3 linked regions of the Lytechinus pictus genome follow. The protein of the gene in region 2 interacts with the protein of the main gene of each other region in a pairwise test. Links are inferred from orthologs where the notes say so. Each region holds a gene or a part of one and is shown on either strand. Other genes may lie near its edges. The genes, in order: AP-2 complex subunit mu, ralA-binding protein 1-like and ras-related protein Ral-A-like.

Region 1 (11,201 bases), on a different chromosome or scaffold from region 2:
TTCATGCGTGGTGTAATTCTAAAAATATCAGCAAGCGCTTGGCGCTCTCATTAGATGGCTATGGTGAGATATGTATGCTCTTTGTGAATTCATAAAAAATAGTCCCTAAAAGTCAAGTCCACACCCAATTTTTTTTTATTAGAATCAATAGAGAAAAATCAAACAAGCATAATGCTGAAAATTTCATCATAATCGGATGTAAAATAAAAAATTATTATATTTTAAAGTTTCACAAAATGGTTACGTGTATATGCACATCACAGTGATATGCAAATGAGAGGTGATGATGTCCCTCATTATTTCTTTTGTTTTTTGTTTGAATTATACAAAATTTCATTTTTTATAGATTCGACAATAAGGACCAACTTGACTGAACCATAAAATGCTAAAACAATGGTAATTCCACATGTTCAGTGAGGAGAAAACTGTTTTACAGGACAATGAGGAGCAAATAAGAATATTGGAAAAAGTTTCATATGCACCCCCCACCAAAAATAACAAGACTTCCGATTTGTTCACTTCAGATTTTTCTATCATTTTTTAAATGTTGCTTACCTTAGTTGGGACTCGAACTCACCTCATTTAATCTGCAGTCAAGACCTCTTCCCACTTTGCTAGCGAGAAGCGCTGATACCGGAATGGGAATTTTAACAATTATCAGCCGATAGTTCAATTAGTCTGGACTCACAGACCCTTTACTGACTAAATAAACCAATGTCTATGGACATTCTGTCAAATTTGACAGAATAAAGCCATATTTTGGTATGTATTTCCACTCCCCCATCATATATGTTCTATAATAGGGCTACATATATTATTCTAAACCTTATCCATGTTTTTATTTCCAATTTTAGTGGGGAGTGCATATGGGACTCTTATATATCATATTTCATATAATAAAATACATAATAGTAAGTGGGTAACGTCATCAGTCCCCTCATTTGCATACCGACCAGGATGTGAATATATTTTTTTTAATGAATTAAGCGAAACTTGAAAATGTCATAACTTTCTTATTTTACATCTAATTTTGATGAAATTTTCAGCATTATGCTTGTTTGATTTTTCTTTTATTCAAATCAACGTTTTGTTGGGGTGGACTTGTCCTTTAATAATCATCTCTCATTGAAATACATCTGTAAAAACCTCACAACACACACTGCATATCCCGATATGCGTGCTGTAGCCTTGGCGAAAAACAAAGAAAACCAGATGGCGACGTAAACATCGTGGCAAGTTTTCCCCATCTTTTCATTTTTATGATATTATTCGACCGATGCAAGTATTTCACGATTCATGATATTTATCGGCCGATGCAATTTATTTTTTAATTTAAATTGGCAGCTACATGTATACACGCGTGTGGTTTCTAGGTATCGATAACAAAGACATCAAGATGGCGACAAAAAAAGACTGGATAAGTCAACGCTCGTGCTCTTAATTATTTTTCATATTTACTACTATCTATTGAATAAAATATACAAACATATTAAATTTGGGGGGTAAATATTGTTTTGGCCCATGTACGTTAGTTTGGGCTCAAAATCCAAAGCAAAACGTGTGATTTAGGTCTAGTTTCACCATGGGAAAACCTACGGTGTGTAGAGACCAATGGCTAACCGAACCCACCCATGGGTTCATATCATCTCGCATGCGAAGGAATATCAGTCATATGCACGCGACACACACGACACATCCAAAATATACTGGGCTTTTGCCCACATAAAATATCACGCATAATCTGGTATTTCACATTCTGCTATGACACTTACCGAATCATTTAGATCCTTCCGTGACTTCTCCTTGAAGTTTCTTTTAAAAAATGTGTATGTTTTCTTGATCTTTAGTGAAGATTTCACGGAGATACAAATTGGTCAGCGTGGATATCAATTTTCGCCTAAAGAGGGCGCGCGATTTATATTCATATCAAAGACACGACAAGGGAAAGACTAGGCACCTACACTATTTTACACGCAAATCTACGCAAGGCATTACGCGAAGTCCGTGAAGTGTCCAATCTTTTCATTGTATAGACTTTGGTATACCGTATTATTGACGTTCGTTAAAGCTTGTACTGCTGGTTTCGTTCCAGGCATGTGTATTTTTTTCAATTTTTTTTATTAGTCATCGTTGTAAATTAATTGCAAAAAGTGTTATCATCGCCATTAGTAATCTTGAATTATGTTTTTGAAGGTATTTCATTTATTGGTGCCCATAATTAGTAAATTAATCATAAGAATTGCGCATCCAAAGAATTTAGACACAGTTATAAAATTACCAAGGAGCTGAATCAAGGTTGTGAAATTTATTAGCGCCACCAACGGGCTTCCTTGTATTTCCGTAGAAGAGACAAACGAAGTCACTTGCTAGGCCGAGATAAGCGAAATTTGCTCTTTTTGTAATGAAATTATTTCCAAATCGTATGTATAATTTTTTTATGTATTGCTACTTACCGAAAAGAGCCCCGGTGCGTAGCGAGAAGGAGTTTCGGCAAATATTACTTCAGCAATGAAGTGATGTTTGCCGACTACTTCGAAATCTAGGGTCAAACACGGTCCCTTGTACGAGGTTAGTGTATATACTAACCTCGTATTAGTGTGAGTGAACCGAACCAGGCTTCATGGAGAGTACATGTAAGCCTACGTACAGTAGGCCTAGATACTTTTTTACTCTCCAGAACTTGGCCTCCAGCCTCCACTGCTCCAGCTCAGGCGAAGTATGCACACGTTAGTGAATAATTTTTACTCTCTAGTCTCTAGGAGCCTTCTGGCTAATTCTAAAAACAGAGTTAGCCCTTGTTGTAAGTAGGGGGGAAAATACGCATTTCGCACTGCATCGTAATCCAGGGGCCTGTTACATGAAAGGGTCTTTCGTAGAACCATTCTACGTAAGAACGAGATATCGCTCAACTGTTTCACAAAGCCGATTTGGGCGATACGAAGAATGGTCCTTGGAAAGACACCTCCAGACATGTCCTACGTAGGCATGATCTTCTTTGCACACCGCCCGCCACCGTCGGCATTGAGAGAAAATTCGTTTACGGCAACCCACACTGACATATCACCTTTAAACATTTTTTGGGGTTGCACACTGATGCATTTTATCTGGGATGGTGCCAAGTTATTTTTTATATGGGGGCTAGTTGTCATCGATTTCAGGTCGTCTTTTTGCACGGCAAGATGACCAAAAACAGATGTCATTTTAACTTCTCCGGGCATTATGTCCGGGGTAATGTAGGCCCAAATATTTTTTTTAATATGTTTTCTTTTATTCTCCGTCCTATATCCCCACACCATTTCCATTAAATTTTTTTTTGAAATATCGAAATGGGCGGCACTATCTCTCTGACCCCTCATGCTTTCTCATTATAGATAATTAAACAACATGAAAACAAAAGAAATTATGTAAGGTAAAAAAAACGTGTTCATAACATTCAGCAAAAAAAAAACGATACAAAACTAAAATGTTAAACATGGTAAATCATTCATTTATTTTTATTTCATTTTCATTATAATAATATTTTTTGCTGAGATTAATTCTAATCAATGAAAATTAATTGTCGGATTTGGGCTAACTTGACTGTGAAACAGTGAAACAAAGCAAAAAATCAGCAGTAACAAAATAGCTAATTGAATTTAAGATACAGATTAGGCATTTAGCTTACGAGTCCATCACAATTATTACAAATGAAGATAAGCTAGTTCATTAAAGAAAAGATTATGGAAAGTCCATACGAAGAGGCACTTTTTAAATCGTAGGGTAGGCCCTTTCGGCCCCTATGTAATGTTAAAGCAATAATGTAGACTCTACTCCTCAACTTTGAAATGTTGAACATATAAAATTTTTATAGTTAAACCTTATATTCTTATATAAGCTTCCATAAACTTTGAAATATCAACTTTAAAGATGACCAACGTTTATGATCATTGTAATATTTAGCATTATTTCTGTAAATAGTATTTTTTCCATTGCAGATTGCACACCTTTTCTATGTTTTAATTGTTATTGCAAAGCACTCCATGCACTTGGACATGTTTGCAGCAATTTTCATATTTTCCTTGTCTTCGGTTACTCATCATGCAACCGAGGTATGTTTATACTCTAAACACTCACATTTGTATTTCTTGCGTTATATCTGACAAATAAAATAAATAAATTAGATTTTTCACAGCCACAGGCAGCCTCTCATATTTTTCTTTTTAGTCTCATACAATCAGACACTGTTGATTTTGTTTACTCCATTCAAACCCTATTTTTACCTCAACGGATAACATATTAACGCATAATTTGCAAAATCATCATTATACATAATATGTACCGTACTACCGGTATTCTATAAAGAATCAGTAGGCCTAGGCCTATATTGAACTAATAAAATGTCGAAATTACTTAGTTAAATAAATTTTTAGGTCGGACAAGGGTCTCTTTCGTTGAAATATCAACGAAAGGTGTCTCTAAAAGGACACCGTGTTCTACATAAGGGAAATAATGAAAATTTCGATTTTATCCAGTTATGTTTGTGAATCTTGAAAGTTTTTTCTCTTTTTACCCCATAAAGATTAAAGTACGCTCCATACATCAATTCTACAATCAGTAATAAATAAAACATTATTGATCCCCTTTTATTGAAATATATGATTTTATAAAAAGTCGTCATTCCGAAATAAAAGGTTCAGGTGACGATGAAGACTAAATATTTTTCCGATACTATCGATATCAAACGATGTCGCGGACTTGAAAGACAAAATTGCCTTCGTGAAACGGCAAGCGCTGATTTGTCGCCAATCTTCCTATCTTGGGAGAATGGTCCTAGGACGTTCCTACGTATCGCTCATCTCGTCATGCAACAGGCCCCAGATCCAAATATGATTCAACTACCCTGAAATACACATTACAATTCTTCCGCGTACGGTATTCATTCTGCCACAGACAGTGCCAGAATTATGCGGACGGGCACGGTACAGAGAACAGAAAGTTACTCAATTGTAAATTCAGCAAATTCTTTTCCAAATAACACACTTTAATACATATCATACATTAACAGGAATGTTGGGATACGTTTCACTAAACAAGAAAATAAATATAAATAAGTCAAAATTGTGTTTTAAAAGAAGAACACACCCACCTTTCTACCTTCACACGGCCCGGCTCTGTATCAATTCCTGTATAATGCATGCAATTAAGGCAGCGGAAGTACAGTTGGGCGGATCATGCAGTTGACATAAAATGGTCATAGATGGCGCTAAAAGAACGATCATCGTAGGTACATTGGCTCCTCAAAGAATAATGATATGAGCAGATATTTCTTTTATTCATAAAGAAAAAATAAAAATAAAAATAGATTTTAATTCGTCATGAGGACGAATTAGGTGGTCTGTCATCATTCTCCATAGAGCTAAGTAATTTCGAATAAATATCTCTATAATCATAATCATCACCATCATTATCATTATCACTAACATTATCACCCCATTATCACTTACATTAATCATGCTTTACTCATCCTTAATTTTGCCTTATTTAAACTACAGGATTCTTATTTGGGGTACCCATCAATATTTATCAGATAAATTGTTACTTTTGCAAAAGAAAGCACTTCGTATTATTTACAGTACAGCTTTCCGTTCTCATAGGGACCCACTTTTTCTAGAAAGTAAACTGTTGAAAGTCAAAGACCTGCATTTACTACAGTTAGGGCACTTCATGTATATAATAATAATACACTTCCCCATATTTTTTATGCCATGTTCCTACCCCACGAAAGTAAAGTCATTAAAGTAAGAAATTGATAATTTTTTTAATTTTTAGGCTATGGCAGCCATTTTGGACGCCATCTTCCCTGGTCTGCCTATATATTCACTCTAACCTGTATATCAATAGATCTTTTTATCCCTTTAGAACATGAAATATGCACCGAAATTGGATGTCTAGTGTGGATAGTGAGTGAATTATGTCAATTTTCTGTGAATGGCGGCCATTTTGGACACCATCTTGGATTACGGAAAACCCTCAAGGAGGATTTATGAGGACTTTTAGTATGGTATTCTATATAGACATATTCCCGGACCTATCCTGAAAAAATCAGCTTTTTACCAAAAATTTCCATGCTGTTGGCCTAAAAGTTATTTTTGTCTAGATAAACAAAAGTTCGTCTGATCAAACCCAATAGCCTGTTGGCCTTTTCTATATTCGATTGCATGTGCTCTTCAAAGCTGAGTTTATCATCAATTACAACATCCAATTAAGTCCCTTTCGGGGGTTACATGTTCAAGCGCATCATTAAAAAAAGTGTATACAAAAGCTTCCTGTCGGTCCTGCGTGTTACCAATAGAGAGTACACTACATTTCTTGGGGTTGAATTTCAGCAGCCATTTTTCTGACCAGCATTTCAGATGATCAAGATCTCTCTGGAGTGAATTGCATGTCATTCTGATCTCTTATATACTTGTTACACTCTTATTACTGAATTACATTACTTCCAGTAACAACATCTGGGAGATCATTGATATATAAAAAAAAATAACACAGGTCCAAGGACACTCCCTTGCGGAATTCCGCTATCTACATGTCCCCAACTTGAGAACTCGCCATTCACACACACTCTCTGTCTCCTTCCAACAAGAAATGCCTCAATCCATCTAACCACCTGTTCATTTATACCAAAACTACGGACCTTTTCAAGCAGTCGACGGTGAGGTACCTTGTCAAAGGCCTTCATAAAATCTAAATAAATCACATCGATATTGTACCCCTTTCTTCAAGAGCTTGAGACCACTCATCAACAACATTAAGCAACTGCATGAAGCATAGTAGAACGACCAGGCAATAAGCTCCAAAACTCACTATGAGCTCCAAAACTTTTTGAAACGGTACAGTTAGTCTTTCAGCTGTCTTACAGGAAATTCGTCTTTTGATGGTCTTTCAAAATGTAATTTATTTAGATTTTATGAAGGCCTTTGACAAGGTACCTCACCGTCGACTGCGATGAACTTTCAAAGTTCTTATTAGTCTTTCCATGATCTTTCGACAGTCTCTCAAGATTTTTGCGGAGATCACCGTAAGACTCATGAGAGATCATTGAAAGACCAGGCAAAGTCCATGGAAAGAATTCTGAAAGATCACTGCATAAAAGATCTCTGAAAGACCATTAAAATATCTCGATCTATAGGACTAGTCAAAGCCCAATAAGACAAGAAGTACCAATCAGTTTTTAGGAGTTCTTTGAGGGGTCTTTCTGAGCCATTCCAAAGGTCTTTCAAAGGTCCCCTTTCTGTGGAATGGGGGCCTTAATAAAAATGAAAAATAAAGACAATATTTCAGAAAGAGTAATCCCTCAGCTACATCATATCGAAGATTTGGCGAAAACTGACCAATATTTACAGAGTTAGAGTCATATTTGCATAATTATGATGACGTCATAACACGCAAAATTGAAATTTTTAGTACTGACGTCATTTTTATGACGTCATGATATAATTGATGATCGAATGAGACATGAAATCATATCTGTGATTTATACTCCATCAAAATAGAAAAAAGGGTCCCCATTTGTTTTGAAGAAATATATACAGTGAATTTTCAAAAAGCATGTTTTTGGCCATATGGCCTATGGTTAGAGGTTAGAGCTCGCGCGCACGCGTGCTGCAAACTTTAATGGGTGCTCATTCCTTTATTAGTGGTCGTAGAGAGTTGATTGAGGTATAAAATTGCTTGGAATTAAATCATTAATGCATTAATGATTAATGATTATATGTTACGTAATGCCGTGACGTACGAAAATGCGCGCGCAAAATTTTGAAATGCCTAAAACGTACTCAAAATTAATAATAGTCGATTTTTAGCATTTTTAAATTTCGATGCGCGCGTCATGACCTTTGATGACATGTATAGTTGACCCTTGGCCTAAAGTTTATTTTTGTAAATATGATAGATTATTAATGATCCATTATGATGATATGATAAATTTTAAATAATGTTACAAAATGGCGCCTATATGACGTCATCATGAGGCCTGATGACCTTGAAAAGCTTACTATCGCGTGTCTATGATAGCCTGGGCAGCATTTAATTGAAGGACTGGTTTATCACAGTAACAGCGATTCTATAGCCAATCAAGGAAATTTGTGAGGACTTAAAGAACAAGTCCACTCCTACAAAAACTTGATTTGAATAAAAAGAGAAAAATCCAACAAGCATAACACTGAAAATTTCATCAACTGATCAAAATCGGATGTAAAATAAGAAAGTTATGACGTTTAAAGTTTCGCTTAATTTCATAAAACAGTTATATGCACATCCTGGTTGGTATGCAAATGAGGAGACTGATGACATCATCCACTCACTATTTCTTTTGTATTTTATTATAAGAAATATGAAATATTCTAATTTTCTCCTCATTGTCAAGTGAAACAGTGATTAATTCCTCCCTGAACATGTGGAATTAGCATTGTTTAATAATATATGATTCAGTTAAGTCGGTCCCTATGGTAAAATCTGTAAAAAAATGAAATATTGTATAATTCAAACAATAAAAAAAAAAAGAAATAGTGAGTGATGGACATCATCGACTGTCTCATTTGCATGTCACTGAGTTGTGCATATCACTGTTTTGTAAAAAAAATAAGCGAAACTTTAAAATGCCATAACTTTCTTATTTTACATCCGATTTTGATGAAATTTTCAGTGTTATGCTAGTTTGATTTTTATCTATTTATTCAAATCAACATTTTGTTGGGATGGACTTGACCTTTAAATATGGCATGACATTCAATAAAATTGGCATGACCGATTTTGAGAAAACTTGGCGAAAAACATTGCTGCAAAAAAAAAAAAAAAATAGGAAAGCCAGTATCATCTCAGACCTTCCCATCCCACACAGAAGACATTATTTTGGTTGTTGTGGCGCTGGTGATCAATGATAATGATAGGTAGAGGTAAGATGTTTCTACATTTAAGGAAATGGGAAAATCTGAATTAAAAGAATATATAGGGAGAGTGAGGCAAAGGTATATATACAACGAGAGACAAAACCACAAAAAAAAATACAAAAAAATAAATAAATACGGAGAATTGTAGTCCCTTCCATGTAGAGTATAGGCATAAAAAAAGGGGGGAGGGTGCTCCTAACCTGGGGACAGGGGGGGGGGGGGTTGGGAGGTAGAACAACACTTTTTATATTTTTTTTCTCTCTTATCATTCATACATCTTGTTAATATTTCATTTTGTAATTGCTGAAACGCATTAGTATTAATTTCTAGTATCTTTGAAGTTTGATGTATAATTTGTATAATTATATTGTTATGGATTTATTGTATAATTTATAATCATGTTTCAAATAGTTTGTACAACTTGCTTATGGAATGTGAATGTTTATTTTGATTTGAGAGAATACAATAAAACATCCTTTAAAAAAAATTATGAAATTAAAAGGAAATTTAAAGAAGAGGAATGGGAAGAAAGAAGGCTGGCTTTAGGTAGAGGCAAGATGTCTCTACATTTAAGGAAATGGGAAAATCTAAATTAAAGGAATATATAGGGAGAGTGAGGCAGAGGTATATAAACAGCGAGAGACAAGACCACAAAAACACAGAAAAAAACAAGAACAATACGGAGAATTGGAGTCCCTTCCATGTAGAGTAGGCATAAAGTGGAGGGCGCTCCTTACCTGGGGACGGGGGGGGGGGGGGTGGGAGGTAGAATAAATCTTTTTTAATCATTTTTTTCTCTTGTCATTTAATACATCTTGTTAATATTTCATTTTGTAATTGCTGAAACGCATCAGTATTAATTTCCGGTATCTTTGAACACTGTAAAAACTGTGGTGTTAAAACTGACACCAGTTGGTGTTAATAGAGGACCACACCCTGAGGTGTTAAAATTACACCCTAGAGATTGAACATGACACCAAAGAGTGTAAATGTAACATCCCAAGGTGTTGTAATAACACCTATGGGTGTTAAAATAACACCGTCAATTTAACACCGGTGTAAAATAAAGTGGTGTGGTCCTCTATGTACACCGGTTAACACCACAGTTTTTGCTGTGAAGTTTGATGTATAATTTGTATAATTATATGGGTTATGGATTTATTGTATAATTGATAATCATGTTTCAAATAATGTGTAAAACTTGCTTATGGAATGTGAATGTGTATTTCATTACTTGCCTCATTATCTAAAATTCTCGAAAAACTTATACATACACGTACAAGTAAGTTCTTTAATAAACATAATATCTTTTCACAATTTGGGTTTCGCGAAAATCATAGCACTTTACTTGCAATTCTGTCTTTTATTGATAAAATCACTACTTCCATAGATAAAGGTTTTCATACTGTTGGTATTTTCCTGGACTTCTCCAAGGCCTTCGATACCATTAACCACGAAATACTTCTTTATAAACTTTCCTTTTATGGTATTAGGGGGAAGGCCTTGGAGTGGTTCAGGAGTTACCTAACAGATAGGTCTCAATTCGTATCATTTAACAACGTTATTTCTTCTACTCTTCCTATCACAGGCGCGTAGCCAGGGGGGGGGCGGTGGGGGCGGTCGCCCCCCCCCAAAACGTCCCCAAAAAGAAAAAAAAAGAAGGGAAAAAAGAGAGGAGAAAAAGGAAAAGCGAAGGAAGGAAAGGAAAGAAAGGTAGCTTTGTGGGTTTTTCCTTTTAATCTTTATTTTTTTCTCAAAACAGAAACTCCTTCACTCTTGCTCTAAATCTATATATATGAATTTTGCTTCCGCGCTGCGCGCGGTTAAATGACAATATTGCAGTTCTCCTTTGTTTCCCTCACCCTTTCTCTAACCCTGTTTTTCCATCTCAGCTATATGTGTTTCTTGCCAGTTAAAGTTCAAATATATACCGTATGGGTACTAGTATTCAACCCGGCATAATTCAAAGATTTTGACATATTCCCCAAAATATTTAGAAATAGGGAATTTATCTTAATTTCACACCTTTATTATTTCCAGGGTAATCTGTTGTCGATATTTTCTTTGTCAATCTGTCGACTGTATGCGCGGAGGATCGAATTATGCGGCGATGGCCTTTTGCACTGAATGGTACTAGTATTCAACCTAGTGAGGATTGATAGCAAATCTCAAAAAGGTTTAAATTGCTAAATTAGATCTAGAACTATGTAAGTCTCTGGCTTTGATTAATTCCCAATCCCTGTTTGGTCTCATCTCAAATGGTCTAGTTCATAG
Region 2 (11,444 bases):
AAGAATATAATGATGTTAACATTTTCATTCTGCTTTCAAGTCACAGCATCACTAGTGAACAAGCACATATATATGCAGAGTGTATCATCTTGACAAAATGTCATAGAAAGTGTAAATAGGTTTGAGGCTATAGATCAAAAGATGATTGGGGCAATGATTTTAAATTTTAGAATGACTCTCTTTCTTACCCTTTCTAATATATGAGCCAAGTGGACTATTGTCCATGAAAGAAGGGTGTAGTTACATTTGGGTAACTGGGCTAGGAGCTTCTTGAATGCCCCTATTCTCTCTTGTGCTGCGGTTAGACCTGGATAATGAATTTGGGTAAATAAAGGTAAACTAGTAAACAGAAAAGACCTGGGTTCTGTAACACAAAGATTTGAAGTTGATAGTAAACAAAATGTTCACAACTGATTGCATCGGGCACATTCAGTTGTGAAATGTATCAGTTTTTACACTTTGTGTTTATGGAACCCTGGGCCTTGTTTCAGCTACTAACTACCATCATAAACTGGCGAAATCATTGTATCTTACTGGCTAAACGTAAAACTGTCTGATAAATTTTTATCATTAAAAAAGTCATTTTTTCTTTCTTTATTTACATAAATTCATCTTGAATATCAAGCACTTGCTTTAAAGGTGAAATGTAATATTGGGGATGTTTAGCAAAAGTGAATCTCACTATGACTTTGGCCTACAAGCAGGAATCTGGCTCTGCATTTATTCTCTACATATATTTCTACTTTCTCTACTCATTTCTACAAAGACACAATGATGGGGGAACAGGATAGTCAATTACAGAATCCTAAATAAAGCAAAGCCTAAAAAAGTATGGAGACTGTTCATATTAAAGCTCGCTCTCAAACAGATAATGATATTCATCTTCTCAATTTACATAATCTGTTCCCTCCCAATCATGTCTTGCCAACGTACCTGCAGAATGTTCAAATACTGGGGTAAATCTTGAAGTCAAGATTGTGTCCGGCAGTTCTCTGAGATACAATTTAAAGAGACTAGTGACAACGGTGGGATCATGGTCCCTCAGGTTCACTTTCTCGTCATTGTTGTACTGGGCCTTCAAAGCCTCCACCTTTGATTTCACACCAGAAAGACGGTAGATCCCGGCTGTTGCTAACCCTGTGCAAATAACAAATAAAAAGAAAAAATAGATCTGACATGATTCCATACCGTAAGTAACGGTGTATTAACCGCACCTTTTTCTCGGCGGGACAGAATCAAAAGTCGGGGGTGCGGTTTATACACGGTGACAGGTCTGAGCCAAGCCAATCTCAGCCCGATACCACTACCAGTTTTCAACTCGCGTCGGGTGGCCGAGCGTAGCCGCTTGGGGCAATCCCGTTTAGAGGGGTATGAGCCGCGGGTATAAAAGGGAAGCAACTATGACTACCGGTATCTGCCGTAAATGTCCCTCAAAGTTATATCACGGTAACAAACGCACCTACCTTCATGAAACTGACTTTTTTTAATGGTGTGACTCTGTCTTTGTTGTCATTTTTTAGTCATCGCGGCAAAGTTCAGACGCCAATCGATCGCACAGCGCGGTGCAGCTAGCCGAATAAGACATGCATGTGTAATGTTTATCGCAACGTCAACGTAAGCTGGCGCTTTACCTTTCCGTGGAAGTTATTTTGTTTGACAAATTATTGGTATTATTTGACAATTAATTTCTTTCATTTGCCTTTCCTTCATTTCTCTCTATCATCCATCATCTCAAAATCAATCTTTAATCCCCATCTTCACTCCTTCCGACTTTTTATTTTTAATTATTATTCACTTTATTCCCGCCCAGAGCTCCCATTGAAAATACGGTATACCGGTACTAGCATTTTTTTTCCTATTTTGCTGTCTGTAAGACACCGCCACACACGTACTGAGAACTACCGGTAGTGGTTCAAAGCAGACAAGAAAAACACCTGAACAAAATCGCAAATTTCTCGTATCTTGAACCTTCCCGTATTCCCTTGTCTAAAATTCATGTCAAGACATTGAATGCTAGACAGAATTCTGAAAGCAAAAGTGGGGCTGTGATGCAGGAAATATGATATGAACGATCTTCTCGTATGGGTGAGCCCCCATGTTGATGCTGGTATCGGTACTTGCAATGAACACCGGTACCATATGTGTGTGTGTGAGGTGACTCGGAGTGTGGAACTGGCCAATAATATCGGCAACTTGCAGATAAGTGACGAAGCGCTGATTTCCCATCATTTTTTACCAGTAATTCTTCGATATTTTTTGGTTCTTGACTCTTTCTTAAATACGCATATTAGAGATAGAAAGTAAGTTTGATTAAATTTTTTTTTTAATGATTTTTTTTTTTTTTAATGATTTTTTTTTTTTTTTTTTTTTCCATCCGAAAATGGGGGGTGCGGTTAATACACGGGTGCGGTTAATACACCGTTACTTACGGTATATATTTGCTAGTTCCTAGGGTTATAAGGTTTCAAAATTCTTTGTGGATAGAAACTTACATGTAAAACATAATGAATCACTTCATTTTCTTCCATTCAAAGAATTACTTTTTCAAAAATAATTCATTTGATATTTATGACAAATATTAAAGCTCATGCAAAGTGCTGGAAGTAAAAAGAATTATCAACCGGAAAATGATTAAAAGTAAATATGAAGATCTGTATGCGATAAGCTGACTTTTCATTCATAATTTCTGGGGATTTTAAGAAATTTGTGCAATAGAAAGGCCGTTGTGTTGCTTCTGACTAGCTATAAATAAGTAATTCTATAACAAATTCTTGAAATGACTTGGGCATTTAAATAAAATCATCAAAGATTACAATAATGGTATTGCTACAGTCAGCAAACAATACTAAATCTCCAATCTTGCTATTTCATGTCTTCATGAAATCCAAAGATGTAAGAGATATCCTCCATTGATTCCTTCCTTGAGTCTAGATGGCTTATCTTCTAAACTAAAGCCTTGTATTTATGTTCATGGCTGCTTTATGATGAAACTCAGACGGATAGAGGAAAGAGGTTTACTTCCAATTCGTCTAATGCCAGTTCATCCAATTGCCAACTCGTCTACTATCATTTTGTCTACCATCAGTTTGTCCACTCACCACATAAGTCTACTTTCATTTAGTCTAATGCCATTCCATCTAATATCTAGTTGGTCCAATAGCCATTTAGTCCATATACCATTTGGTCTAATTGGACTAAGTGTGAATTGTGCACAATGAATGAGAATGAAATTGATATTAGACCAACTGGTTATGAGACGAAATGGTTATAGACGAAATGGTGATTAGACGAAGTGATGATTGGACCAAATGGTTATTGGACTAAATGGTTGTTAGACGAAATGTTGATGGACGGGATGGCATTAGATCGAATGAAAGTAGACCATGTGGTCAGTGGACCGGTTGGCAGTAGACAAACTGGCAATTTACCTAGGAAAGACTCCCTTAAAGGACAAGTCCACCCCAACAAAAATTTGATTTGAATAAAAGGAGAAAAATCCCACAAGGAAAACACCGAAAATTTCATCAAAATCGGATGTAAAATAAAAAAGTTATAACATTTTAAAGTTTCGCTCAATTTCACAAAACAATTATATGCACATCCTGGTTGGTATGCAAATTGGCACACTGATGACATCACCCACTCACTACTTCTTTTGTATTTTATTATATGAAATATGAAAAGTTCTAATTTTCTCCTCATTGTCATGTGAAACAAAATTTGATTCCTCCCTGAACATGTGGAATTACCATTATTGTATCAGTTTATGGTTATCAAGTTGGTCCTTATTGTCAAATCTGTAAATATGGAAATATTGTATAATTCAAACAATAAAAAACAAAAGAAATAGTGAGTGAAGGACATCATCGACTCTCTCATTTGCATATTGCTGAGTTGGGCATTTAAAGGGGAAGTTCACCCTGAAGAAAACTTGGTTGTAAAAATAGCAGAAAAAATAGTCAAAAACATTGGTGAAGGTTTGAGGAAAATCCGTTAAAGAGTAAGAAAGTTATTAGAGTTCAAAGTTTGGATTTGTGACGTCATAAACGAGCAGCTGCCCCATGTGTTATGTAATATAAAATGCATGAATTTCAAATTTTATATGGTTCCTGATGACTTAATTTTGTTTTCTATTCATGATCGGGTGTGGAATGATTTGTCTATTGATATACAACAGGTACAGTGAAAACCATTTTCAATTTTCTGAGAAAATGACATTTCATTGATTTTTTACCATTCGCTATGTAGGAATGCTGCTCGCATATGACGTCACAAATCAAATAATTGAAATTCTAATAACTTTTTAATTATTTGAATTTTTCTCAAAACTTCGGCAATATTTTTTATTATTTTTTCTGCTATTTTTACAATAAACTTTTTGTCAGGGTGAACTTCCCCTTTAACTGTTTTGTGAAAAATAAGCGAAATAAAAAATGTCATAACTTTCTTAAATTACATCCGATTTCGATGAAATTTGCAGCGTTATGTTAGTTTGATTTTTCTCTATTGATTCAAATCATCAATTTTCTTGGGTGGACTTGACCTTTGAATAGATGAAGACAAACTTACAAGTATAATATACATGATTTGTGTGACAAAAATAAGAGCTCCCGCACAGATATTTATATAATATTGACTGGCCTTGAGGGGAACATCAAATATGTCGCCCGCAACAGAATCATATTGGCCTGAGTCTTTAGACGAGGCCAATATGGTTCTTTTAAGGGTGATATATTTGATGTTTCCCGAAAGAAGAGCCAGTCAATATTATTATTATTACCTGAGGCTGTACAATGTGTAATTCAAGCTACTATTTGGAACAATTTATATGCCTGATTGCTCATCACTATTTCTGATTTCAGGTTATTCACGACTTTAGCGAAGTAACCCTTAATAAGCAATTGTGACGTAATTGTTACATTGCAGTCGTGCATCATGCATGGCGCACATACACTCAACGCGTAGAAATCTTGCGCTTGGGTTACGTTTGTGTATGCACTGGCCGCGCCGCGCATTATCAACAATGTGTTTGTTCATTAACTGGTTCCAGCCAGATTTCTCAAATACTGAAACTAGCGATCAAAATCGGCTCCTACAGTGCAAGCACACTAGCAGAAATATGGCCAATATTGCCCTCTGTTTTTGTACAGGATTCCTATGGGCAAAGAGGAGGGCAACATGGCAAATGTTCACCACGTCGGTCTCGGATTGAAAGTAGCGAGCGAAATATGACTTTTATTGATCTGCTAAAATACCTTGCATAGGTACTAATGTTCTTTGTTTCATGCCAAAATATTACTTCTTTCTGTCTACATAATTTGTGCATTCAAACAACTTGACCTGAGTTCCTGACTAACAGTAATTTGCATAATTTTCTTGGAGATTTGAAGTGTTTCACATGTACATTCAGTTTTCACTATTCCAACAATTCAGTTTGATTCCTTATTTTGATTTTCCTGAAAAATATCATATGATTTTAATAAACCTTTTTTCTCATGTACATACACAATAATTACTAGACATCCTTTATACCATGGACCTCCATGTTTATACTATCAAGTAGCTCTTTTGCAAAGTGTGAAGAAAATCAAGATCAATGAAATAACATCATAAACAAAAATAAATAAATATTGCGCATATAACATTGTATATTGATACTTCAATCCAGATTATAACTTAAAGATTCAATGACTCATGAAATGGAAAGTATTTTTGTTTTTGTGACAAACTTCCTTATTTTCATCTTTGATATATCTCAATAATGAATCATATTTCACCAGTCTAGCAAGTAAACGGAAGCTTATGAAGGCCTATGTAGCTTGAATTACAAGAGAGAGGCCAAAGTGGACAGCTTTGAGATGCTGTGATCAAAAAGTCAGTTTGCATCTTAATTCTTATTTCCTACATTACATGGCCTTCAAATAATTAGCTTGCAGACAAGTTAGTCAACACCTAATTTTAATTGATAAAAAGGGGTACAATCGTTACAGTATATAAAATGAATGACAAATATTTATATGTTTCAGCACACTGAAACATTGAATATTCAAACTAGGGAAGAATAAACAAACAAAATGTAAATAACTCCCAATTACTTAACACATAAAAAAAAAAACTTAATAAATACTAAAAAATATAAATGAAAGATATTAAAACTATTTAATGATTAAAAGAATAAAATACAGAATGAATAAAAAGTAAATGAAACAAACATTAAAATGATGATGAAAAAATATCAAAGATCAATTCAAGAAGATGAAAATATGAAAGTAATAGAACTTTGAGTTTATTCATATTGAAACACAACATTCTTCTTTAGGATGTGTTTGGTAATGAAACATGTGACAGCTTTTTATGCCCTGATGTGCCCATTTGATATACTGAACAATGACTAACAATGATGGCCTCATTAAAACTTAATGCACATTGTGTAGGTCGGACTATATGTAAGCCATAAAATACATGTAGTAAACAAAAAAAATAGCCTTGCTAATTATGCTATATGATTGGCATGGTAAAAAGAGCCTTCATGTAAAGGGCATGCAGGCCTATACATAAACAATACTACATGTACACATCAGTACAATGCATTGGTTGAGTTATAGATGTTAGGGTTATTAATTGGTTGGAAACTAATTGAAAGTTAACTTGTAATGGGGTATATGGAACATAAAGTTACGGTGAAATAACATTGTCTTCAATGGGATGAATGTTACAAACATGAAATTACATGCCATATATCAATAATGAACACTATTGTAAAAAAAAATGAAATAAACTAAAACTAAGCATCATAATCAAGGAATTCTGATTTACGATCATTTTTTCTGATGTTTCTCAAATTATGTTTGTAATTGTACATGTAGTTTGTATCAGTATAAACAGGGTGTAATTTGAAATAGCCCTGTACTATTTTTCTCCCATGTCATGTCATGATATTGCACACACAAACTGCCTGTTTTCTTCTCATGAAATCTGCAAGGAATGGAAATATTGCAAATAATTATTCATTGCCTCGGGGGGGGGGGGGGGGAATATACCTCTATGTCCAATATCTACTGCCACCCTCAACAATAGATGGCAGCAGCTGACAAGTGTGTATAATTGCTAAGGAAGTTGTTAATAATATCATAAAGAACCTCCAGCATTTCTTCTAGGAGAATGAAGAAATTACCTCGCCTCAAATTATGACTGCCACCACTCTCTCAAATGAACAGGTGTCTCGAGGAAAATCAAATTATCATCAAATTGATTTGTATAATTTTGGCTATCACTGAATTACATGTAGTGAAGTTTCTTGAAATGTACATGACCACATTTTAAAAATTCTTCATGTTCAGTATCAGATTTCAAAACCCTAGTGGAAAATAAATGAGGGATGGCACACTGTCAGTTGCATTGATTAGGAAAACAGAAAATGGTGTAACTGTATGCACATTTGTCAAATTATTGCAATCAAACTACAGTTCAGGATCCCCCCCCCCCCATTTTCAGGGAACATTAAATGAAGAAGTGAAGTACTGCAGTAACCTGCAATTTCTATTCTAGAAATATTTCAGTGTGTCTTCCTAAATCTAAATTGCCGTAAAATTAGTCTTATTATTACTTCTGCTGTAGAATGAATGTTTGGTCGTGCTTTGTAGTATCACTTGGAGTTGGAGACTTCCACAAAAATAATATTACAAACATCCAAAATTTGACCTTGATTTCATTTTGAGTAATGAATGACCTCAATTAAACATGTGTAACTTATAGGAAACACCGAATCGCAGCCTCATATCATATGGTGATGAGTCAGAAATAAAAAGTACAGCTTCATATCTGGAAAAAAGCCACAAATCTGAGTTTAATTAAACAAGAAATACAGCAAAGATAAATGAGAATGGAGATATACATGTACAGGAAAAGAGAGAGAGAGAGGGGGGGTGAAGGAAAAGGATATGGTTGAAGAGGTCAAGCAAAAAACAGGAGAAAATAAAAGGGCAAGAAAGGAAAGAGGGGAACAGAGTAAGAGAGAGACTTAAAGATTGAATACCAAAAACTGAGTGACACAACTCTGGTGTGTATTTGACTTTTGAGTCAACAAAGTTGTCTGACTGATTTGAATTGTCATGTCCCAGTTAAGGCTATATTTGGATTTCCCCTTTAAAGTCTACAAGCATTTTGGGATTAACAGGAAATCTTGAAAATTTCAAAGGAACAGACGATTGGGGCATCCATCATCTCCACCCTCCTGAAACTTATACAGTTTACTAAATCTTTTTTTCCAAAAGACACTCTGAAAATTAGGTATTAGTACATCTTAAAAAAATAATCAATGATGTAGAATACACCTGTTATGCATTAGAATCATGACCTCATTTGTGTTTTGTTCCTTAGCTAGAAAAGGGAAATTGTCTTCTCTCTTCTGTTTACGGTTTATTTTCAATTCGTCTAATGCCAGTTCATCCAATTGCCAACTCGTCTACTATCATTTTGTCTACCATCAGTTCGTCCACTCACCACATAAGTCTACTTTCATTTAGTCTAATGCCATTCCATCTAATATCTAGTTGGTCCAATAGCCATTTAGTCCATATACCATTTGGTCTAATTGAACTAAGTATAAATTGTGCAAAATGAATGAAAATGAAATGGATATTAGGAGACAAAATGGTGATTAGACGAAGTGATGATTGGACCAAATGGTTGTTAAATGAAATGTTGGACGGAATGGCAGTAGAATAAATGAATGTAGTTGGCAATAGACGAATTGGAAATTACCGTTTGTCACCATATCTTTATACTTGTATATTTATGTCTGTCACCCTCCCCCCCCCCCCCCTCTTTCTCCCTTTTCCGTCTACCACTCTCTTTCCCCCGCCCACTCTGTAATAACTATTGATATTGTTTTCATCAAAGCTTAAAGGGATGACAAAGTATCACAAAAATATTGTATTAATGATAGAATTATCATACTAAATCCAGTATTTTCAGTATTAAAACATTAGTAATGCGCGCAGTCGTTGGCCCTTTTGAACGATGAGTTAACACTTCAGTTTTCAGAATTTTTTTTGTTCTTTTCACTCCCCCCCATCATTAACATGATCTTCCTCCTCTTCATTCACTCTTTGTTCCTGTTCATAATGTGTTGATTGCCAATTTACTGACTAGATTTTTCCTCTTGTCAGACATGGTAATTATTTTCATTCTTAAAGCTGTCAATATTTTCATCTTCCTTCACACTTACATCGCTATTCAAGAGACAGTAAAAACAGAACTTTGCTTAAACTAGGCTTTGGTCGGAATGGACAGAATACCGGAATCCGTCCAATGTGCACGGGTTCCAGTATTGTTTTTTCCATTCCGGTATTCCGATAAAACAATGTAATACATAACAAATTATAGAGTATGTTTTATTAAGTCTTACCAATCATAACCTAGGTTTCTTTGTTACATTTCAGGTGACCATCGAGAAAAATCTGAGAAAACGGGAAAAAACCTGCCGATGTTTATGTGGCCATCTTGTTCTCTTTGTTAGTAGCTAAGGTACAAGATGCATATAGAGGGCAGCAGACTCTACATGCGTCTCGTAGCTTTGCTTTTAACAAAGAGAACAAGATGGCCACGTAAACATTGGCAAGTTTTTTCCTGTCTTTTCATAATATTTTTCTTGTTTGTTTTAAATGAATGTTTGTTTAAAAATGAAATGAATTCATGAACGGGGAAGTACAAAGAAGTCACAGATTATACATTATTGATTTCATATAATGAAATCAATATTGTATAATCCGTGACTTCTTTGTACTTCCCCGCTCGTGAATTCATTTATCAGGATACCGGACCAGCACAACACCGGCAGACTCCGAAACAAAAAAATTCAGACAGTCTTGGACATCTTCACCTCAAGACCATTGTGTGTGCCAAATTTCATGAGAATTGGTTAAAAAACTGAGGAAGTAGTTTGATGCGCAAGATTTTCACCTTATTTTTGCCATAATATGCTATTACCATGGCAACACAATTTCCGACTCATACGAAAAATGTGTCTTGCACATCTTTACCCAAAACCAACATGTGTGAGAACTGGTTTAAACTGAGGAAGTAGTTCAAACTGAGGAAGTAGTTCATGTGCAAGATTTGCAACGGACCGACCAACCATACAGATTCCTATATACACTGTACATGTACATGTACCCCCTTCAAACTTTGTTTGTCGGGGTATAGAAATGCGGTTTTATGACATTTGCTCCTGCGACAATTACTCCTACTGTAAATGCACACACATAGGCCCGAATTCACAAAGGTGGTTTTGAAAACCTACTGTTGAGTCCATGTCTTATGCAGATTTCCTGTATAAATTATGCTTATTTTACCGCGTATATTAAAGAATGTCCAATGCTGATGCGCGCTTTTGTCACAGTGCGCAAAATTGACGCTTGTTGCCGTGGTTATCCACGCTAGTTTATTCATGAGTCCACTCTTCAAACAGTGGACTCATTAATAAAATAGCGTATCTAACCATGGTAACAGGCGTCAATTTGGCGCACTGTGACAAAAGCGCGCATTAGCATTGGAATTTTTAATACACGCGCTAAATTAAGCGTAATTTATACAGGGAATCTGCATAAACCATGGATTCAACCGTGGGTTTTCAAAACCACTTTGTTAATTCGGGCCATTAAGTCAACATAAACCCAAGCTTTGAATCCAACCTGAACCTGAATCCCAATCATAATCTGATTCTGAACCAAAAACTTATCACAATTCTAATCCTACCCTTATATCTATAAATTAGTGGAGAAACAATTGTCAGGAGAACAATTGTCTCATTATCAAAAATGCAACAAGTATCCTTGATTTGATATCTTTAAACATCTTTTGTCATTCAATAAAAACATGTACAGTAGTTCAATGACCATTTCAATATGCCCTTTTAACTATGTACATGTACATCGTAATTGACTGATGGCGAGAAACGATATTTGATTTGTGTGACACATCTGTGTGCAGATAACCGATGAAACTGATAATACAGTCCATGATATGAACTTCTGAAATACAATTAACCTTGCTGGCCCTGGGATCTGAATTTAATCCCTAAAATCAGCCCTGCCTACTTTTTGAGGTTACCAGCTGGTTGTTATTCTACTTTCTATACTATCACAAATAAACACTGTAGTTTGGTGACACAAATTTTCAATCCATAAATATAACTGTTAATCAAGCACTCAATGTATTTACGCACAGCGGCACCGGCAGTGTGCATTGATACATTGCCAATAGCATATGCAAGCCGTTACTTTACAGGTTACATGTTAATAATTAATGTATTTTATTAATCACTCTAATGTTAGCATTTCTCCTTTTTTGATTAGTGGTTTCATTTTATACTCTCTTTATGTTTGTAACTATTTGTTCTGCTTATTTACATATTTATAACAGATACATGCAGTGTACCTAAA
Region 3 (11,790 bases), on a different chromosome or scaffold from region 2:
TGACAAATTTGAACCGATACGCATACGTTAATTGCCCTAATATGCACCAAATTAATGCACAAACAGAATATTACTCAAAAGACACTGGTGGCATAATTTGTGCGGCTACATCATGTACATGTATATGTACCTCACTCGCCTCCCCACATGCTGTAATGAATGTATTAGCGAAAAAGAAATGATAAATTACTACCTCTATATACCGGTAGGTATTGGGGCCGCATATCCTCCCTGCATTTACATGTCCCACATTTAGGCCATAGTGAATGGAGAATTAAGAGAAAATATGTATTTAAGTACTTTAGCCCTAAAAAGGCTGGGGGCATACATGTACAAACCCTTTTGGGCTATGGCATGAACAGATCTTTACTTCTTTATAATTGATAATTTTTTATGGTCCTAAATTTACAATAGGTGGTTTCAAACCGCCTCGATCACAAGAATCCCCGTTAAATTACGAGAACTTTTTTAGGCTGAAAAATACCCATTAATTATTCCTGCATTCACACCGCCCTGAAACATACTCTTCGGGATAAGTTCCTGAAGTTACGAGCATGCGCAGTATGGTCTGATAAGCAGCAAGGCGCGAAATTCAAAATCACTAGCCCAGCAGCAGCCCATGCACGGCGCCGCACCCAACGACGCGCTGGGCTAAAAGTTCCCGTAATTTGCTTTCAGACCGCCAAAATACCCACGACCTTGGAAAAATCCCCGCGAAAGTTCTCGTAATTTCGCCAAGTACCTACTATTTATCGGGTATTTTCTTTCGGGGATATTACGCGTAGTTTGCTTTCACACCGCCAAAATACCTGGTATTTTCTGATCGGGGTAAATTTCCCGATCAGAGAATACCTGGAACTGGCGAACTTCGAGGCGGTCTGAAACCACCTAATGTGTCTCCACAGAAAGAGAAAGGGGGAATTATGTGCCGGAATACGTGCTACAAATACAAGGGAATAAAAACAGATATATCCCCGCCCGCCCAACAGCCCGGAGGAAAGATTTACAAATTAGCTGCAAGAGAAGCTAAATATAGCAAAAACTAAAACCCTTGGGGGAAAAATAATCTGAGCATTAATCAAGCATGAATGCTCCGGACCTATTACATTTCCCTCATGCCCACCGGGCACCAACTGCTTGCCAAAGCTTATTCTTTCCATCTATACATCATGTATAAATGCATGTTATCGACGAAGGCCAACCACATCACAATGATGGTGGAAAACTATCAAATCCATACAGTGGCATTGATTATAATCGACTCCACGATCACAAATAAATATATCCAATTCATTTGCATGAAAATTGGAATGAAATTTGTCTTGCGTTTCAGTAGCATCCACGACAAGGCAGACCCATTTTCTGTCAACTCGTATTTTGACTTCACAAGCATTGCTGCAAACAATATTGCTTTTGGTGCATGGGTATTGTCCAGAAGTTGAAATTAGATCAGTCTTCTTCCACATTGATGCTACAATGTCTCTTTTACAATTGTCATTAACCTCAAGACTTATCCTTGAGGTTTTTTTTTCAATGGTCTCCTTTTGAGAAAATGCTCTTCAATTATAGGCTTTCAGCTAAACATAAGATCCATTCTATAACTTGCAAAGCAATGGAAGATTTTAAATAAGATTTAAAGGTTTAAAAAGCCACCACCTTTTCAATGAATTTTTAATTCATTGACTCATTATCAAACAAAAACATCAAGACAGCTTCCGCAAGTGGAGCAAATCTCATATCTAAAATTAAACCAAACTGTAAGAGATGGGGTGTCAATAAAGACATCCAAGTACAGAAATCATATCTAGCGATTGAGCACTAGCTCAATCTACAATGCTCTTTCTTGCTTCTCTCCCAGGGAGGGGGGGGGGCAGTCAAATATATTGCTGTACACATGCATGACCCCCCCCCCAAAAAAAAGATGTTTAAAGGGGTGTTTTTCAGTTTTGGACACGGGCCGCATGTGCACTCGTTAAGGGTATCAAAAACACAGATTTAGAAGAAAAAAAGGGTGCACTGAAAGACTGGTCAATGATCAATCGCGGGGTCAAACGTATTTAGGGTATATTTTCCAAAGCTTTTTCTTTTTAAGACTAGCCAAACATGTTTAGGGTATGTTTTTTTCCCTGGGGTTATACTCTGGCGACAACTTGTTTGGCGCCAAAATGTGTAAATAAAGCCCGTGAAAAACTTGTTTAGGGGGTTATTTTGCACACAGAGAAAAACTTGTTGAGGTGTTTGGAAATAATATGGTCATGCATGTGTACAGCAATATATTTGACCCCCCCCCCCCCCCCCGGGGCTTCTCTGCCAATTTAAGCTCATGAACATGTAACTTTAACCATCCAATGGAAGGTCACGGGGAATCCTTTATTTTGATTGGCTGTTGAGCATCGTTACCATGGTAGTAACAACTGGATGGCAAATTCAGCATGACAGAAACAATTATGCAGCAGGTGGCGCAGAACTCATCACCAGTAAATCTTTTAAAAAATGCATAATCCTATCATGATGTTACAAGAACGATTGGACATACTCTGTGAGTGGTTGATCAGTCACGCCCTGCATGCAAGGAAGTATCTCAAGACATCGCAGATGGCCATCAACACGGTCCTCCTCTGAACTGCTCATCGTGAGATTCAAAGACAACCAAAGTCGCTACACACGAATCAAATTTTCCACAAAGTTAGTGAAGTCCCTGAAGGACTACTAAAGAGTGTCCTGGGCTGGATGACTGTTGAAATGAGAGTCCAAAAAAAAGGGCATGTGACCGAGAATTCCTCAAAGATAAGGCCAGAGGTTCCAAGAGGAGTTCCTCAAAGATCAAGTGAGATTTTACAATATGACTGAGATCTTGTAGCCTGCTTCCTTCTGCTTTATAAATATACAATGTTGTATACTAATAGTTCCGAAAAGTTCAAGTTCAGTTACATGTTCCAAATCAAAATGACTATTAAAAAGTATTTGCGCTGTAATTATTATCCTGTTGTATTGATAATTAGACACATAGAGCAGAGACAGAACTTTCACACCATATTCTGTGACAGAAGTGACTACTCTTCCCACACTATAAGCTGGAACACTGCAATCGGAGATAGACAGAACCTTAAAATCTGGAGCTTTGTGTAAATTCCGGTGCAAACGCTACAAGCAATTCATAACCCATCAGGAATGGTATCCAAGTTTTAAAGAAATATCCAATGATACTAACCAAAGAAAGATGTATATCAAGAGAAGAATACATGTGTATCCATCCCTTCCTTGTCAAGGTTTAAAGAGAGATGACTGCACTTTCTCTCTCGCTGCTGACTGCAGTGAAGCTTTGAGCATGTCGGATAACATTCACACAACACACTTTACACAGTCATTCTGGCGTGACAATTCGTCTGGGTGTCCTGCTAATTATGGAACATTGTGATCATCCCAAGTGATGACGGGGTCAGGATGACAAGATGACACAACTGTTCCCCATGAAGTAGGTTCCTTTATATTGCACACCTGAAGCTTTCAATCTATTCGGCAATCTATATGCTGATAAAAATCATTGACTTTGAGGAACTCCAACAAATTGGATGTCACTCAGTTGGCAAACCAAAGATGTTTCTAATTTCACAATGTGTAGATTTTCATCAGGAATACAAAAAAATATGACCAAGGATTATCAAGTCAGATGAAGTGCACATTACGAAATGCATTCCATCATGTTTGCTGATTTTAATCCTTTACTATCCACGATCGTTTGACATAACCATTGTGTGAGTTCAAGTGCTAGGTTCTAAGAATCCACATCAGCCTTCATACATGTAGTTGTCCAACATACATGTAGTTTTACTCCGCACATGCATTCAATGTTCTGTCAAGAATGTTCTAGAAGGAAACGCATTCCTGTATGCATCATTTCAATCTTATACCCTCTGAAACAAAATAATCGTTCAAGATCAGTAAAGGTCTAACGATGTGCCAACAGCAAATAAAAACCTTTCGTTGATGATATCGACACACGTGAAGCAAATGTCCAAGGCAAAGTGTGTTTTTTTTCAAGCACAAAGCTCCTGCTACTGTATTATAAGATGTTGGAGATACTAGGCAAGCATCGATAGGCCTGACACACAGCTATCCACACCCTGTTTGCTAAGCAAGGCTTGTGATCGACGAGAAACGATCGCCGAGAATCCAATGATTCATGAGGAGAGCTCCTTGCTGTTAGCAGGTATATCAATAAAATATACACAAGAATGCCTGGATTCACATAAATTATTCTTTGCACATCCTCAAGCAATATCGAGCCAGAGTCACAAGACAATTTCAATACACCTGGAAACTTGTATTTTCAAAAAGGTCACAGATTCAAGCATCTATCATCGGTGATTACGAACCATTACTGATGAAATGTATGGTTGGCACAACATACGATGACTCATTTAAAGCACTGCACATGAAACTATGAGACATTTTGCTGAATGAAACGTCATCGGCCCGTAAAATCATCCCAAATCTCTACAGAACTCCTATGGAAATCCCCTTTCCAAGATGCAGTGTTCGTGAAGCGAATCCAACAGCTAGAGTTGGGAGTAAATGATGTGTACATAATGTGCAATAATGCACTGCTCCGAACAACACGATAAGTGTTAATAATCACGATGATAATTCATTCAAAATGTCACCAGCATATATTGCCCCATCTGTTGCCTATACCCTTTGGTGATGTAAGCATTCAAGAAAAAGAATTGTGATCGATCAAACCAGGTTGGGTTGAAACTCTACCTCAGGCATGGATTAGAATCTGATCTGGAGTGATCGTAAGTGTTGTAATCCTTCATCATTATGTTCAGCATATCCCGAGTCGGCATTGATTATGCTGATGTTTCACAAAGGGGGTGGGTGTTCAAGAAAAACATGGATGGGCTGGCTATCATGAGTTGATTGCTGTTCGTGATGTTTCTTGTAATAATAATGATAATAATAATATACAGTTCTTGTATAGCGCATATCACAATCATGAATAATGTCTCTATGCACTTCCAAAGGACTTGGATATTATTATTACCCCAGCTGTAGCTTGGCAGCCGTAATTACTGAGATTACAGCGCACACGCATTTCAAGGAATAAATTCCTGCCAGGCCGGTACCAATTCACCTCACCCGGGTCGAGTGCAGCACTATGTGGATACATTTCTTGCCGAAGGAAATTACGCCATGGCTGGGATTCGAACCCATGACCCTCTGTTTCAAAGTCCTGAGACTAATCCACTGGGCCACAACGCTCCACACTTGTAACCATTTAAAGATAAATTCCAGTTTTGGTAACGATCTAAAAATGACTTTTTACAGAATCTAATATAATGACCACCTAAGTGTCTGTTTGTATGAATAAAAAATATGTGCCAAAGGATTCTGGAAGAAATTGTGTGATTGCTGAGAAATAAGCAAAATAAGCGCGGATTCGGTCACTTCCGTCGGGTCTTTATTTTAGCAATAATAATACACTGTCCCACGTGTGCCTATCTGTGTTGGTGATCTTCAGTGTGAACATTTTTCAGCGTAGATTTCAAGATTTCACAAAGTTCAGTTTATGTAACTGTACCAGATCTAGATCCTCGATGATATACTGACAATTAAGCCTTGTTTTACAGACTTTCTCATGAAATCAGTGTTTACTGCAACTACTGGAATTTCTCTTTAAGCATTCTAATCTGTTCACCATCAAAGTGGGGGGGGGGGGGAGGAGGGCACTGTCATTTAAAGATGGACACCATGCTCGTCCACAAAATCATAAAAAAATGGCGGTTTTGTATAAATAACGAGACAGGAACGAGGGACAACACATTGTATGATCTTTCCATGTTTTATTTTTTTTATTTACATGTAGATAGAAACCTTAGATTTTTTTATCTAAATAAAGCTCCTCCCTTAATCAATATCACCTCCCCTCCCTCCTTTTTAAAGGGTTGTTGGTAGAATGGTACTAGACTGACATTGGTACATTTTGTATGAAAATTCTGAATAGTATTTCAAAGAGGCTTTTTGTTTCAATTTCACTTGAATTCGTTATTATACCGATTTCATATGGAAGCTTGAATTCATAACAGATCTCCCTTACATCAAAAATACTTTTTTTTTCAATAATACTTCAAAAACAAACATGGTCTTATTTTTGTTCACGCTGCTTTTCTCAATAGCAGCCAATTGCCACGCCCCACTAGAGATTATCAGAATACATGTAGCAGCATATATACCAAACTATGAAAGCAAAATTGAAAGTATACAGCTACATTTACATTGATCATTGAATATCATACATCACAATCGTTTCCAAAAATATCTTTGCTACATTTCAAGCACATGACAGGATAAGATTCTTTGCAATTTTTTTTGTTGTTGCAAAGGTTACCAAAGATATAACTGCTCAAGCAGACGCAACGAGGTAGACAGTCGAGGGCTCATATCAACCAGCGGGATGATTAAATTAAAAGATGAGGAGGGAATATTCCCAGGAGAAAAGAAATATAGACCCAAGTATTAATCTGGGAAAACTTGAATGATTAGGTGGTTTCAAACCGCCTCCATAATAAGAATCCCCGTCAAATTACGAGAACATTTTTAGGCTAAAAATACCCATTTATTATTCCTGCATTCGCACCGCCCTGAAACGTACACTTCGGGATATGTTCCTGAAGTTACGAGCATGCGCAGTATGGTCTGATAAGCAGGCAAGGCACGAGATTCAAATCACTAGCTCAGCAGCCACCCACGGCGCCCGCGCCCAACTACACGCTGGGCTAAGAGTTCCCGTAAATTGCTTTCACATTGCCAAAATACCTGCGACCTTGGAAAAATCCCAGCTAAAGTTCTCGTTATTTTGACAAGTACCTAATATTTAGTGGGTATTTTCTTTCGGGGAGATTGAGCGTAATTTGCTTTCACATTGCCAATATTACCTGGTATTTTCTGATCAGGGTAAATTTCCTGATCAGAAAATACCTGGAACTGACGAACTTCGAGGTGGTCTGAAACCACCTATTGTTAGATATATACATGTATGGGAGAGTGAATAATAAGAGAGCAAGACAACTTTTTATGATGAATTGATTTGAATCTATAAAGAATATGCATAAACTGACGCAATATACATGAATTCATTGCTGTGGCCTGCCAGAGTGAGGCGGGTGGATTATGAAGAACAAGGGGTACATTGACAAAAAACAACAACAACAGAAGCGTTATAAACAGCACCACCCGTATTTACAAAGGACCACTTCAAACATTTTACATGAGATATCATTCATGTCTTAATACAGCTAAAGCATGGGTAATAATAATAGCAGGGCCCGCTGGGAGAACAGGTTTCAGAACTGAAGTGGCTTCCCTGGGTAAATGTACCTTACACATATCATTATTATTATTATCATCCACTGGTGCAATGATTAGTTTATTAAGACAAAAGGTGTTGTGTGTTCAAAGCCCATGATTAACACCTTGGTTTTACAGTACATACATGTACATGTAGCTATTATAAATCATGTAAACATAGGATAGGCTTACATGTACATCAAGTGAATGGTGTCCCAAACTCACATGAAATAGCCACAAACATTCACATGTTTTTACTGCAACATATGCAAGCACCCAAGTTGCAAAAACATAGAACTTGGCAAACACCTTCAAATTGTTTAAAATTTGTATTGAAATTGATTTAACATTTCTTGACAAAATCATGAGGATTTCTTTAATGCAAGATTTCAGGCTCAAGGTCCCAGTAACATAAAGCACGATTGATCATGGGGTTTGAATAGTGTTGTACACTGCAAAAAACTCTGGTGTTGATTGAACACCAGCCCGGAATCTATATATGTCCACACCAGAGAAGTGTTAAACAACACCAGTTTCGTTTTTGTCTAACACCAGATTAGTATTAAAACTGGTGTTGTTTCAATACTTCTCTGGAGTGGACATATATAGATTCCGAGCTGGTGTTAAATCAACACCAAAGTTTTTGCAGTGTGTCATCAATTGTAAAATATATCTGCATCACAATCAATTGATAAGCTGTATGTTGTTACAGGGTCCTGATGATGTTTAATACAACGGTGTTTCTACCAAGCACTCATCTCTCATTAGGGGATTTTCAAGTACTCTAGAATGATGAGCCCAAGAGATCAACTATGATGGATGTGTTTATATTTACTATCATTCACCCCCTTAAACATTCAAAGTATTTTGGAGAATGGACAGACACGCACAGTAGGCATATCTGCACTCTGGTATCTATAGGAATGTTTGATTTGTGTTTATTCATGCAGTTTCTCTCTCTGTCTGTGCCATAATGGTGTTCATCAGGTGATGTGAGGTACAACACAGCTTTCACAGCAAATTGGGAAATAATCAAATACACTTTTATGCTTTTCACACTGCACTTTTTTCCCTTAACCCCAGGAAATTGGTGGGGCTAAGGGGGGGCCTTAGCCCCACCAATTTCCCGGGGTTAAGCTTAGCCCACTTCGTTTTCACACTACGTTTTAGCAAAGTGGGCTAGCACGGTAAATAGTACGTACTATCTGGCCCTGCAAAAAAGCAGGGTTAGCTGGCTTATTGTGGTGCTAGCACCACAATTGCGGTGCTAAGATATGCAGTGTGAAACGAAACTGGGCTAAGGAAACGTGGGGCTAAGCAATAGCCAATCACAGAAGTCGAAATAGCACGTTAATCACGCTCTGTATGGTAAAATCATCAATATTCATGAGCTGTGGGATAGTCCGGGGTTAAGGCTTTAACCCCGGCTAAGCAGATAGTATGGGGTTAAGAAAGACAGTGTGAATCCCCAAAAAGATAGTATGGGGTTAAGGATAGTCCGGGGTTAAGGATTGTATGGGGTTAAGGAAATGCAATGTGAAAAGCATATTTAAGCTATTATTGGTGTACAATTAGGGACAAATCGGTTGTTTAGGGATTTATTCAACAACCGGAAACTCCTTTAATGAAAGAGCAGCTATGGAGGTTATTAAGTTAAAGGCAGCATTTGAGAGAGTATTCTCAACGTTTTGAGTTACGGTACTTCTGGATAAAGAAACATCACAAACTAGTAACCTAATTTTTTACATCCAATAACATCTTGCTTGTTTACTGTACATGTACTTCGAGGGTCTAGAGCAAGATGGCATGAACATACGCATTGATTTTGGCTACTTTGGGAACATTCACAATCATTTTCAACACCTATTTTTTCAGATTCTTTCATTTTTTTTGTCGTGATTATAAAATAATTTACTGTTACCAAGTAACATGTAAGGAGCTCTAATACTTTATATGATCTTTATACAGCTCTCTCTCTCTCCATATTGGTGAAACACTATTTTCTATAAAAATGGGTATGTGATACATGTAGTCCCACTCATGCATTTCTCTGCAATTCATTGTGAATACATCATTTTCAGTTCAGTGGGTCACAGGTAAGCGGATAGAGTAGAAGATGAGATCGATTGAAGTTCCCTCCCTCGCACCTGCATCTTTGCAATGAAACGCTACCCTTAGGAAAACACAGGTTGACTCAAAATGGGGTTCGGTGAACTTTTGGCCCAGGCACAAAGTCAATACCACACTCCCTTTAACCAATGTATTGTCAAGGGGTAGTTTTGCTGTTAGATATTCTATAGGCTGGTGCTTTCTCTGGATGTGAGAGGGTTAAGAATGATAGCATCGATCTTTTAAATGAGTTCTGAAGCGGGATATGCAATTTACAAAATTGGAAAAGTTGAGTTACGCCAACTCCTGAATAGCAGATAGACAGTGAACCCATGCATTACTTCAAGGGTTCTGCCTTTTTTTTCTTCTTTTTCTTAATTCCTCCCATCCCTTTCCTGTATAAAAAAAGCTTTAAATACTTTATATGAAATGGGTAAAATTGTCAAATGAAATGCACATAGGATGCAAACCTAAAGTGATCAATCTCACTATTGCATATAATCATGATACACTTTTCTTGATACCCTTATCACAATATGCAGCTGAATACATTACAATTTTACGGGTTTTTTTCTTGGGGGGAGGAGGATTCACCTCCAGCCCCCCCAAAAAAAATCAATGTTTCAGAAGCAAAGTAACCAGCTAGTAAACAGCAAAATGCACGAAACTGATTGTATTCTACTTATAAACCATGTCTTCCGAATTGTTTATTCGGCTTTGATATGGCATCTTTTGTGATGATGAAATAAACCCTTTAATAGTTCATCTAATTATGCTTTGATTATAGTGAAAGCCTTGAAAAAAAGATACTACAACCTACTGCACCCCCTCCTCCCCAAAACTGAAACACCTCTAAGAAAATCGTAATCACTTTATATCAGTTAGTTTCTCACAAAAAGCAGCTCACTACTAATAGTAGATTACCATCAGCGTCAAGTTCAAACCTACATTAGGAGAGAACTATCTATTAGCCCCATCACAGCTTCATACTACTACAAACCAAAGAAATCAAGATTGAAGAGGCATGCAATGCAAAAGGTAAATGCCATGTTTGTGTTCCATGGCACATGTTTATCAACATGCATTTGTCTGATGATGCTCCATTCACACAACAGAAAACTAAGTTACAAACACAGTAGAGAACAGTATGCAGGTACATGTACGTACCACATGGCAAGGTATATACATATATATATATATTGCAATTTTCTATCGATGTAAACATGAATAGACAATCCCCCCCCCCCTCCATTCTTTCCACGATGTAATACTGGTACACAGACAACTTTTCATGTGAAGATTTAAAAGGACAAGTCCACCCACAACAAAAGTTATTTGAATTAAAAGAGAAAAATCAAACAAGCATAACAGTGAAAATTTGATCAAAATCTGATGTAAAATAAGAAAGTTATGACATTTTAAAATTTCGGTTGATTTCACAAAACAGTTATATGCACATCCTGGTCAGTATGCAAATGAGGAGACTGATGATGTCATTCACTCACTATTTCTTTTGTATTTTATTATATGAAATATTCTAATTTGCTCCTCAGTGTCAAGTGAAATACGATGAATTCCTCCCTGAAGATGTGGTATTAGCATTGTTAAATACTATATGGTTCAGTCAAGTTGGTCCTACATGTAATTGTCAAATTTGTAATAAATGAAATATTGTATAATTCGAACAATAAAAAACAAAAGAAATGGTGAGTGAAGAACATCGACTTTTTCATTTGCATATCACAGAATTGTGCATATCACTGTTTTGTGAAAAATAAGCGAAACTTTAAAATGTCATAACTTTCTTATTTCACATCCGATTTTGATGAAATTTCAACGTTATGCTTGTTTGATTTTTCTCTATTTATCCAAATCAACATTTTTCTGGGGTGGACTTGACCTTTAAATAAAAGTTGTTTATGCAATGCACAAAGCATTTGCAATATTTCAACAAGAATCAATTTATAACTAGATTAAAGTGGGTGCTGGTGTAGCGCTTAAATGTCAAATTTTGAATACCGCATTTGGAGAAGGCAGTACCCATTTTACATGTACATGTATCATATGTATGTATGCCTAGGACACCTCCCCCGGGTGGAGTGAGGCACATGTATATTAATGCATTGCTAAAGGACACATGCTGCTCTGCGGTATGAACACCATGGCATGAGTGCCATTCAAAGTCCAGAGACTTTATATCCACTGGGACTTAACACTATAACAAAAAGAATACAGTTTTTGTATAAGAAAAATAAAATACATGAAACAGAAAATTAGTGGTACATCTCATTGAACAGCATTCATGAGGGTTACAAGGTGAAGTCGTTTTTG

What was found.
Region 1: the proteins of ralA-binding protein 1-like (region 2) and AP-2 complex subunit mu interact in a two-hybrid assay, tested with the Drosophila melanogaster proteins (2 studies listed by BioGRID). The link is inferred for Lytechinus pictus from reciprocal best matches to the Drosophila melanogaster genes Rlip and AP-2mu.
Region 3: the proteins of ralA-binding protein 1-like (region 2) and ras-related protein Ral-A-like interact in a two-hybrid assay, tested with the Drosophila melanogaster proteins (6 studies listed by BioGRID). The link is inferred for Lytechinus pictus from reciprocal best matches to the Drosophila melanogaster genes Rlip and Rala.

What each region holds. Positions count from the first base shown.
Region 1 is NC_087258.1:28,023,875-28,035,075, reverse strand, and holds the start of AP-2 complex subunit mu, read right to left. Parts: upstream 5,239-11,201; 5' UTR 5,126-5,238; intron 1-5,125.
Region 2 is NC_087247.1:48,442,170-48,453,613, reverse strand, and holds the start of ralA-binding protein 1-like, read right to left. Parts: upstream 5,546-11,444; coding exon 5,533-5,545; intron 1,138-5,532; coding exon 934-1,137; intron 308-933; coding exon 189-307; intron 1-188. UniProt on the Drosophila melanogaster protein: Participates in receptor endocytosis during interphase, is also involved in mitotic processes when endocytosis is switched off.
Region 3 is NC_087245.1:39,573,958-39,585,747, forward strand, and holds the start of ras-related protein Ral-A-like, read right to left. Parts: upstream 4,616-11,790; 5' UTR 2,632-4,615; coding exon 2,537-2,631; intron 1-2,536.